2 linked regions of the Neurospora crassa OR74A genome follow. The protein of the gene in region 2 interacts with the protein of the main gene of each other region in a pairwise test. Links are inferred from orthologs where the notes say so. Each region holds a gene or a part of one and is shown on either strand. Other genes may lie near its edges.

Region 1 (3,843 bases), on a different chromosome or scaffold from region 2:
GTGAGTGAAGGGCGAGGGGTGCCAACTGGAAAGTGGTCGTCAAAGGCGGATGTACTTTTTAGTTCCTTAAAACCAACAACCAACTGCAAATCATGGCTTCGAATTCCATGGGCAAAAAGAAAAAAGGTGATCGTCCTTACTGTAAAATTTAGGTTTTGCGAAGAAAGCGGAGAGGTATGGTGGATGTCCTGTCGTTGGATTTCGTTGTCGCGAACAAACTTCCTCCGCACGAAAGAGACGAGGTTCCTGACGCGAGGCGACAGACAGTGAGTGTCACTGTCTGCAACCAGTTCGCGTTCGAAGCCCGAAGTACTGATCAACCGGCGCAATGGAGCCGCAGCGAGCAGGTGCTACCATTCTTCTGCGTTTTTATTTTGGATATCTTTCTTGATCGTTGAGCATCGCTTCGCCTGGGCCTCTGGAACGCTAGAGGCACCAGACATATCTGATCTAACATGAGGAAATTTTTCAAATCTCTGATTGCCAAGAATAATAGAACATGGGCGTAGAGAAGATCGCGCAAGTATCATACCAGGAAGTAGATTCATCATTTGGTCTGATGTTATGGGCACAATCGACCCGCCTTCGTATCCCCAAGCATCCTGCCGGGCGTCGACGAGCAGTTCGGTCTCAACTCGAATGCCACGACAGCCGAGGTACTTCGAGAATGGAAGTGCGGTGAACGGCACCGTAGTCACGTGTCAAGGAGCCGCGATATATATCAACATATATTGCGCAGAGGGATCACGGTTCAGGATGACGGGCGAAGGAACTGGCGGTTCTGGTCGAGTCATGACAATGGTATCTTCAACTCAATTGCATTAGACAAGACAAGCTGCTATGATGTGTGTGAAGAATTGGGGTCAAAAGCAACGCTAAATCGATGATGAGGTGTGGAACAAAAGAAACTAATACGCAGCATAAGAAGGCTTCCCAACCGACCACATCAATTCTTTTCTATGACTTGATCATGAAAATCTGCGAACATAGGCCTAGTTAGTGATGACATTCAAAGAACGGGGAATTTCACCAGAGTTGATATACTGACCTGGTTGAGAGCAGCGCTGTCCGTGAAAGCCATCTTTTTCTGCGCAATGAACCTTTGCCTAGCCAAGAATCGGGTTGAAGATGTAACAGTAGGCGTGGAAGTGCCGCTTCCACCTGGTGTGCTCGTCTCTATTTCAGCACCGTCTTTCGTCCTCTTCTGAGCTTTCGATTTGCTGTCTTCACTTTCTGTGGCAGAGTCTGATAGCTCCTTTTCCTTGCGCTTCTTCTCTTTCTTATCCTTCTTCTTGTCTTTCTTCTCTTTCTTCTCTTTCTTCTTGTCCTTTTTCGACTTCTTGGTCTCCGTAGCAGACGACTCTAGGTCATCTGAAGAGCTCTCTTCAGACTGTTTCGCGTCTTTCAGCTTCCTCTTGTCCTTCTTGTCCTTCTTTTCTTTCTGGTCTTTCTTCTCTTTTTTGTCCTTCTTCTCCTTCTTCTTTGACCTGGAGGACTCGCTGTCTGTTTCGGCTTCGGTGTCGGTCTTCCGCTTCTTCACTTTCTTGTCCTTCTTTTCTTCCTTCTCGTCTTCCTCGTCGCTGTCCGCCTTCCTCTTCTTGGATTTGCGTTTTGTGGGCTCGGCGTCCTTGGTGTCCTGAGAGGGAACTGTCTCCACTTGTTGGTCGACAGTATCGCTCTGTGGTACGCCGTCCTCTTCCGTCACTTTTTCCTTGACCACGTCACCAACCAACCAGCCGCCTCTGACAAAGCGGATCGTTCCAATCTTTTGTTCCAGATAGTGGTTGCGGATGTGATTCTCGCGCTTCTGTTTTTCGGCTTCCAGAACATCCTCGCTCTTGCCGTTCAGTCGCCCGAGGAGATGTTGAAAATCAAAGAGGCCGGTGCACTCGTCGCCATTGTTTCGTTTCGCGCCGAGACCGAGGTTGTCGTCCTTGAGCGTGACCTTGATGTGTGACGAGCTGGCTTCCGTGTGATGTACGGCATGCGCAGCATCTTTGGCGCCCAGAAACTCGCCGGGCTGCCAACCTTGGGCGCGGAGGATTTTTTGGCCAAAAGTGGTTTCGTTACGGGACCATTTCGTGTTGTTGGGGTCGGTTCCCAGTTTGCGCTTGCTATTGAAGTTTCGTGATTAGCACGCAGTCAACAAAGGGAGCACAGCCACTCAAGATATGCGCTCACTTCTTGGCAGCGGCGAGGCCCATGATTGCTCGACGTCGTTGACGAGGCTCTCAGCTTGTGTGCTGAGTCGTCAAAGGTCAATGGGCTTGGTGTACAACTGAACTTTCGGAAATCGGGGCGCCCTGTCTGTGCTACGGCATTCAATTTTTTGGCGGGGGCCTTGCGATCCCATCAAAGATCTGCCAGCTTTCACCGCCCGAAAATTCCACACAGTTCAGGAACTACGGTTCATTGCTGCAGGGGAGGTGCCTGTCACTTGCTCCTTCCAGATATAATTGTGGAGAAAACACTTGCCTGCCGACTTCCGGGGACATCAATCGATCGTGAGATTTGGACGAACTTCCTTCTGTTCATCTGACACTTCTCCTTCTCAAGTTGTCAATTATGATTCAGTCTTTGGCCCAATACTAGAACTGTTTAAAAGACTACGTTCAAGGGAAACACCCTGGAGCAAACATGGCACCCTCGGCGAGCACCGCCAAGTCCAGGCAACGAAAGTCGACTAACACCGTACTTGACGATTCTGGTTCCGACGACGACTACCAAGCATACAATTTGCGACTTCAGGAAGCCAGCGCGGCTAGAGCACGTCTCAAAAAGGTATGAACATCAATCAACAACAACGAGCAAAAATACGGTTCCTGTGAGCGAAGCATTCATTTAGTTCACTTCTTGATTTCTTTTAATTTCAGGCGAGAGAAGAGCGCGATAAGAAACGCAAGGCCTTGCTCTCAGCCTATCAAGGCGCGCTCACGTCCATCCAAGACCGCGTAAGGAAGTCAGTTTCCAAGTACCATGATCTCCAGTAAGTTGAACCGGTAGACCGCTCACTTTGTCCCAATGGCGCGTTCTCTAAAAGAATATTTCGCCCTTCCACTGTTGTTCTAATTGTAGTTTATCCATGGTACTTGCAGTTCAGCCATGCACATCTCCCGTCTGTTAAGACTCAAGGAAGCAGTAGAAGCCAGCGATCAAAAGCAGACCGCCATTGCCAAGAAGCTGGCCGATGTGCAGCGCATCATGAGCAACCACAGTATCCAGCTCTGCGCCTTGTACGAGGGTCGTCGAAAAGACTTGGCTGTTATGTTACCCCGTGCCAAGCCTGAGAAGCCTGCGGAGGATGGTGCTGGTGCTGCTGCTACTTCTGAGGTGGACAGGTTGTCGGGCCAGTAGCTGCTGCCTGAGGGTGCGCAGGGATTCATGGTCTCGAAGGAAGCTTCATCAAAATCGGCGGCTGCTGATGGTGAAGATTGGTATGAGGGAGGAGTGGGAGGCTGCTAACGCTTTGTGCTGAACTCGATGATGGTGACAATGAATTCGTCACTGTGTGTTGGGTGGTCGCATTTGACGGGCACAGTGGCCTCGGGTCGTAATCTCGTATGCTCTGGATTGAGAAAAGAGAACAAGTAGAACAGAATGAGGACTGTTAAAATCAGCAAGACAAGATAGTTCGTACACCACCGCGCTGAGTTAAAGGCCATGGAGATTGCCACAAGATCGATGTCCCGGCGGCGTGTGAAGAAAAGTAGGAACGTAGCAAGGGCCGTATAAGCTCCGGCAATCCATATTCGAAGCTGTCCCTCTCTCTCCTCCTTTTCTATGTCGTAGTTGTACACATGTATGCCGTAGTAAGATTTGAGATGCATGAAAACGCCGCTTGGG
Region 2 (4,472 bases):
TTCAGCCCTCACCCCCGTAGGCTTGCTCACGGCCAACCTTGGCTTCGATACTCGTCGACCAAGATATCCCCGGGACCATAGTAATTATATATCCTTTAGCCTGGCTTGGGCCACAAGTTGTAGAGGTACTTTGGCTTAGTACCCGGTAACGGATCACACTTACACTGTCCGTACTCTCCATTAACGCTGCGCGTCTCGTCCCGGGATATGTTGTCGCCTGAGTTACTTTGTCAGCTCTGATCAACGCCGCAAGCAAACGAGCCAAGAAGATAAGATTTTCAGCGGTGCAAGAGCGCTTAGTACGGGGAAGGTGTAGAGGCAATGGGGTGAGATATCGAAGAGCTAGATAGCATGCAAATCATAGATCAGAGCATATCCAGCATCGAATAAAGCAACAAACAATAAGCTCAAGAAGTAACAAGACCGCCGACAAGGCCGATGATAAGGAGCAAAGATGACCCAAAACTCTGATATGTAAATCTATAGGACTAAGCAAGCTCAAATTTGCTCATCAACAAGCGAAACCAACGGCCCAGCATCCTCTTGATCCTGGATAGACTCTAGGCATGTTTAAATAATCCTCAAAGCCATGTAATGACTGGCTTGCAGTACCCTTGCGTCCCCAGGCCCAAACAATCTCCTTTGAAACTCGAATGGCCAGAATAGTCTCAGTTTTCGACGTGATACCCTGATGAAAGGGGAGGGACTCTCAGTTCGCAGATTTCAAACGCCATAAAGACGAACCAAGCTGTCGAGCATTTTAAGCGCCGATAAAAGCAACCTCTGCTTGACTATCCAGCGCCCTTCTCGTTCTTAGGGTGATTGACTGGTGATCGTTCTTGATGTGTTGTAGGCTGGCCAATTTCGCTGGTGAACAGGAGGTTCGTTGCGCGGTGACTTAGGAGTCGTGACGAGATCGTGAAAGGCGGCGTAAGATGGAAGCAACCGGGGTCACTCCGGATATCAGTCTAAGAACCCTGGTGCTTTATTCCCACAATGCTAAAACAAGGCAGATACCCAAACGCCATTCGCCGTTCCAGATTTACAAAACCATCCTGCCAGTAGAACACCGAATTATGTGAAGGTTCCAGAACAGAGCAACGAAGATAGAACAGTACTAATTCGAAACTCAGTTATCGACGAACTCCTTCTGCTGGTAGACGCAAGAAACCATGGCGTGGTCACGCTCGTAAGGCTCTGTGGGTGATTGTTAGTTATTGTTGGCTCTATCAACCAAAAGGGAAGCGGATGGACGTACCAAGAGTCAACTGCTCCTTGGGGAAAAACTTGTCCTCACGGAGCTTCTGGACCTCAGAGGCGAAGACCTGCTCGGGAGGAGCAGTGGAGTCAATGCAAGAAGCCTTGATAGAGATGAGAAGACCACCACCCTGCTTCAAGAAGAGCTTGGCGTTGATGCCGACAATTCTGAAATGTGTTAGTGTCAGGCACATACAGTGTCAAGGATCTGTATAAGTCGGCTTACCTGGCCTGATCGGGCTGGGCAACATCGGCGAAGATGACATCGACCATGGGGAGCAGCATGCGGTAAGCCATGGGCTTACGGGCATCCTCAACGATGGGGATGACGTTGGTGCGGCGAGTAGCCATGTTGATGAGGTCACGGCCGGAACGGTGAGAGAACTCGACGGCGTAAACGGAACCAGTAGGACCGACGATATCGGCAACGTGAGAGACCGAGGTACCGGAGGCAGCACCGAGGTAGAGGACCTTGGAACCAGGCTTCATATAGATGGTTTCAAGACCACCGAGGATACCGGCAGCAAGCTTCGAACGGAAAGGGTTCCAAATCTGCAAAGTCCAATGTTAGTCTTTGTCTGAGGCCACAAGCTGGAAAGCCTGGAAAACGTACGCGGTACTCAGTCTTGGTGGAAGCACCACCTTCCTCCTTAGAGGCGTTCTCGACAGAGATTCTCTTCTCGCCATAGACGGACTCGCCAGGGACAAGGTTGACGGTAGCGAGGAGATCCTCCTTACCACCACGAGCGACGAAGACGCCCTTGTGACGGTGAGGCTCGACGATGACCTTCTTGCCAGCAGCACCACCCTTGGCGCCACCGCGGGCACCACCGCGACCACGGGTAGCACTATACTCATAATGTCAGTCAATGTCTTTGGAGTAATCAAGGGTTTTGAACACAAGACGTACCCGCCACGGCCACCACCGCGAGGACCGCCACGACCACGGGGAGCACCACCACCACGGCCGCCTGTTAAGTCATTGTCAGTAAAGTGTTGCGTTAATGTGGTTGCTGTTGCCATCGCATGTTGAGTCGAGTTGCGATATGAAGTTCGACTGAAATCGCCATCCTACTACGAGAAGTCAAGAGGCATGCATGGCGACCACGGGCCGCAGCAGACGCAGAGACATCTCTCAAGATGACGAACAGAAGCAACGACATAACCGCAAAGACCATTCAGGCGATGGCATTGAGGCCAAACTCACCACCGAAGCCACCACGGCTACCGCCACGGGCGCCGCCTCTGCCACCACGATCACCACCGAATCCACCACGACCACCGCCACGGGCGCCGCCTCTGCCACCACGCTCGAAGCCCATTTTTATAGAATGTGTCGGTATTGATAAGTCGGAGTCGGTATGAGTTGCGATTCTGGGCCGAAACGCGTTGTAAGATCAGTCGTGCGAGGCACAATGGGTTTAGAGTTGTCGCGCGGCGCTGTCGAGGACTCGGAAAAGAGCTTTTGCTGGAGCTGGGTGCAAAATTTCCTGGACATGGATTGAAAGAAAAAAAAGCGGGGCACGAAGTCTCATCGCTGGAGCACTTTTTTTTCCGGTCGAGGCCTTCTGCCTTTGCAATTGGCTGTCGTCCTGGCGTGGCGGTCGAGGCTCTCCAGTTTGTTGCGGATGCTATCGTGCACGGCCGGCAGTCCAGGAGGCAGGCTGTTATCGGCGCTAGCACTTACTGTCCCCGCGTGCACGTGCCTCAGGCAAAGTGACGGTCCGCACGAGCCACCTGCGCAGTGCCCACAGAGCCCTAATCGCGAAAATCGGTTTTTGTACGCCAAAATTGGAACCCATCACCACCTCTGAACATCACACTTGGTCGATTCCCCGTCCTCTCATCGACAAGCAGGCAAGATGGTGAGTAAATCCCTGCGAAATCCGCCGAACGAGAGAATCGCCGCCGTTATTTTGCTTCAGGACAGTTTTCGGGCTTCTGCAGCCGAAATGACGACGAAAGTCTCAACGGACGACAATGACGGCTTTGCGAGCATTGCGAGCACTTGGAGGAGAGGGAATCGCTGACCGAGTCTTGTTCAAAATCGCAGGTTCGGTACGCTGCGACTGAGATTGCCCCGGCTAAGTCCGCCCGCTCGCGCGGCTCTTACCTCCGTGTCTCCTTCAAGAACACCCGTGAGACCGCCCAGGCCATCAATGGCTGGAAGCTCCAGCGTGCTCAGAAGTTCCTCGAGAACGTTCTTGAGAAGAAGGAGGCTGTCCCCATGAGACGCTACGCTGGTGGCACCGGCCGCGCCGCCCAAGGTACGACTTACTCGATATTTACATGCACAAACACACCCGAACCGGTACATCATGCGACGACGACGACGACAGTGGGGAGGACAAAGTGGCGGGGGAATAGGGGGGCATTGTCAGCATGATGGAACCGCGACCGACCGACACGAAACCGCAATCGAATGGAGGACATAGAAGACACGGTGCTGACCGTTTCTTCGTCATATAGGCAAGCAGTTCGGTGTTTCCCGCGCCCGCTGGCCCGCCAAGTCCGCCGAGTTCCTTCTCGGTCTCCTCAAGAACGCTGAGGCCAACGCCGATGCCAAGGGTCTTGACACTGGCAACCTCGTTGTCAAGCACATCCAGGTCAACCAGGCCCCCAAGCAGCGCCGCCGCACTTACCGCGCTCACGGTCGCGTACGTCAAACCCGGAGATACCCCCCTGATTTCTGCTTCTGCGCCGGCAGATAGACGATCAAGCCGGTCATTGGCTAACAGTTATGTTTTAGATCAACCCCTACATGTCCAACCCCTGCCACATCGAGCTCATCCTCACTGAGGCCGATGAGGTCGTCCAGAAGTCCGAGGCCGTTGTCCGCGAGGAGGCTCACCTTTCCTCCCGCCAGCGTGGCGCTCGCGTCCGCCGTGCCATCACTGCCGCTTAAATGCGCTTTGATAGCTAGGTGATTGGACGAGGGGATGTTTTGATTGAGGGCTTCACTTTTTTTCCGGAACGGTGTACGCGAGCATGGCATTTTTCGGGTCAAGGTCACGATTCCAGGGAAAAAGGGGTCGATCATGAATACTCAATAAAAGAATTTGAGAAAGCATGACACGGCGAAACAAGTAATCATTCAAGCCCTGGCGTAATTGCCAACGGGACGCCAAACCGAACTGCGGGTTACCTGAGCTCTGAGAGTGGCTGTGACGTACCTGTCTGCCCCTGATGCAGAGCCGCATGATGTTCAGGTAGCT

What was found.
Region 1: the proteins of NCU03702 (region 2) and NCU02528 interact in a two-hybrid assay, tested with the Saccharomyces cerevisiae proteins (2 studies listed by BioGRID, with this or other methods). The link is inferred for Neurospora crassa OR74A from reciprocal best matches to the Saccharomyces cerevisiae genes NOP1 and PXR1.

The regions. Positions count from the first base shown.
Region 1 is NC_026501.1:2,635,556-2,639,398, forward strand, and holds NCU02528 (hypothetical protein), read right to left. Parts: upstream 2,319-3,843; 5' UTR 2,205-2,318; coding exon 2,182-2,204; intron 2,115-2,181; coding exon 1,049-2,114; intron 979-1,048; coding exon 958-978; 3' UTR 509-957; downstream 1-508. Other genes in the region: NCU02527 (hypothetical protein), read right to left, coding at 355-443; NCU02529 (hypothetical protein), read left to right, coding at 2,638-2,781, 2,874-2,986, 3,096-3,354. UniProt on the Saccharomyces cerevisiae protein: Involved in rRNA-processing at A0, A1 and A2 sites through its action in U18 and U24 snoRNA 3'-end final trimming. Negative regulator of telomerase through competition for binding to EST2 with TLC1.
Region 2 is NC_026505.1:2,139,381-2,143,852, forward strand, and holds NCU03702 (rRNA methyltransferase NOP1), read right to left. Parts: upstream 2,867-4,472; 5' UTR 2,580-2,866; coding exon 2,465-2,579; intron 2,229-2,464; coding exon 2,168-2,228; intron 2,106-2,167; coding exon 1,871-2,105; intron 1,810-1,870; coding exon 1,484-1,809; intron 1,426-1,483; coding exon 1,259-1,425; intron 1,198-1,258; coding exon 1,130-1,197; 3' UTR 314-1,129; downstream 1-313. Other genes in the region: NCU03703 (60S ribosomal protein L17), read left to right, coding at 3,120-3,122, 3,311-3,524, 3,727-3,914, 4,007-4,162.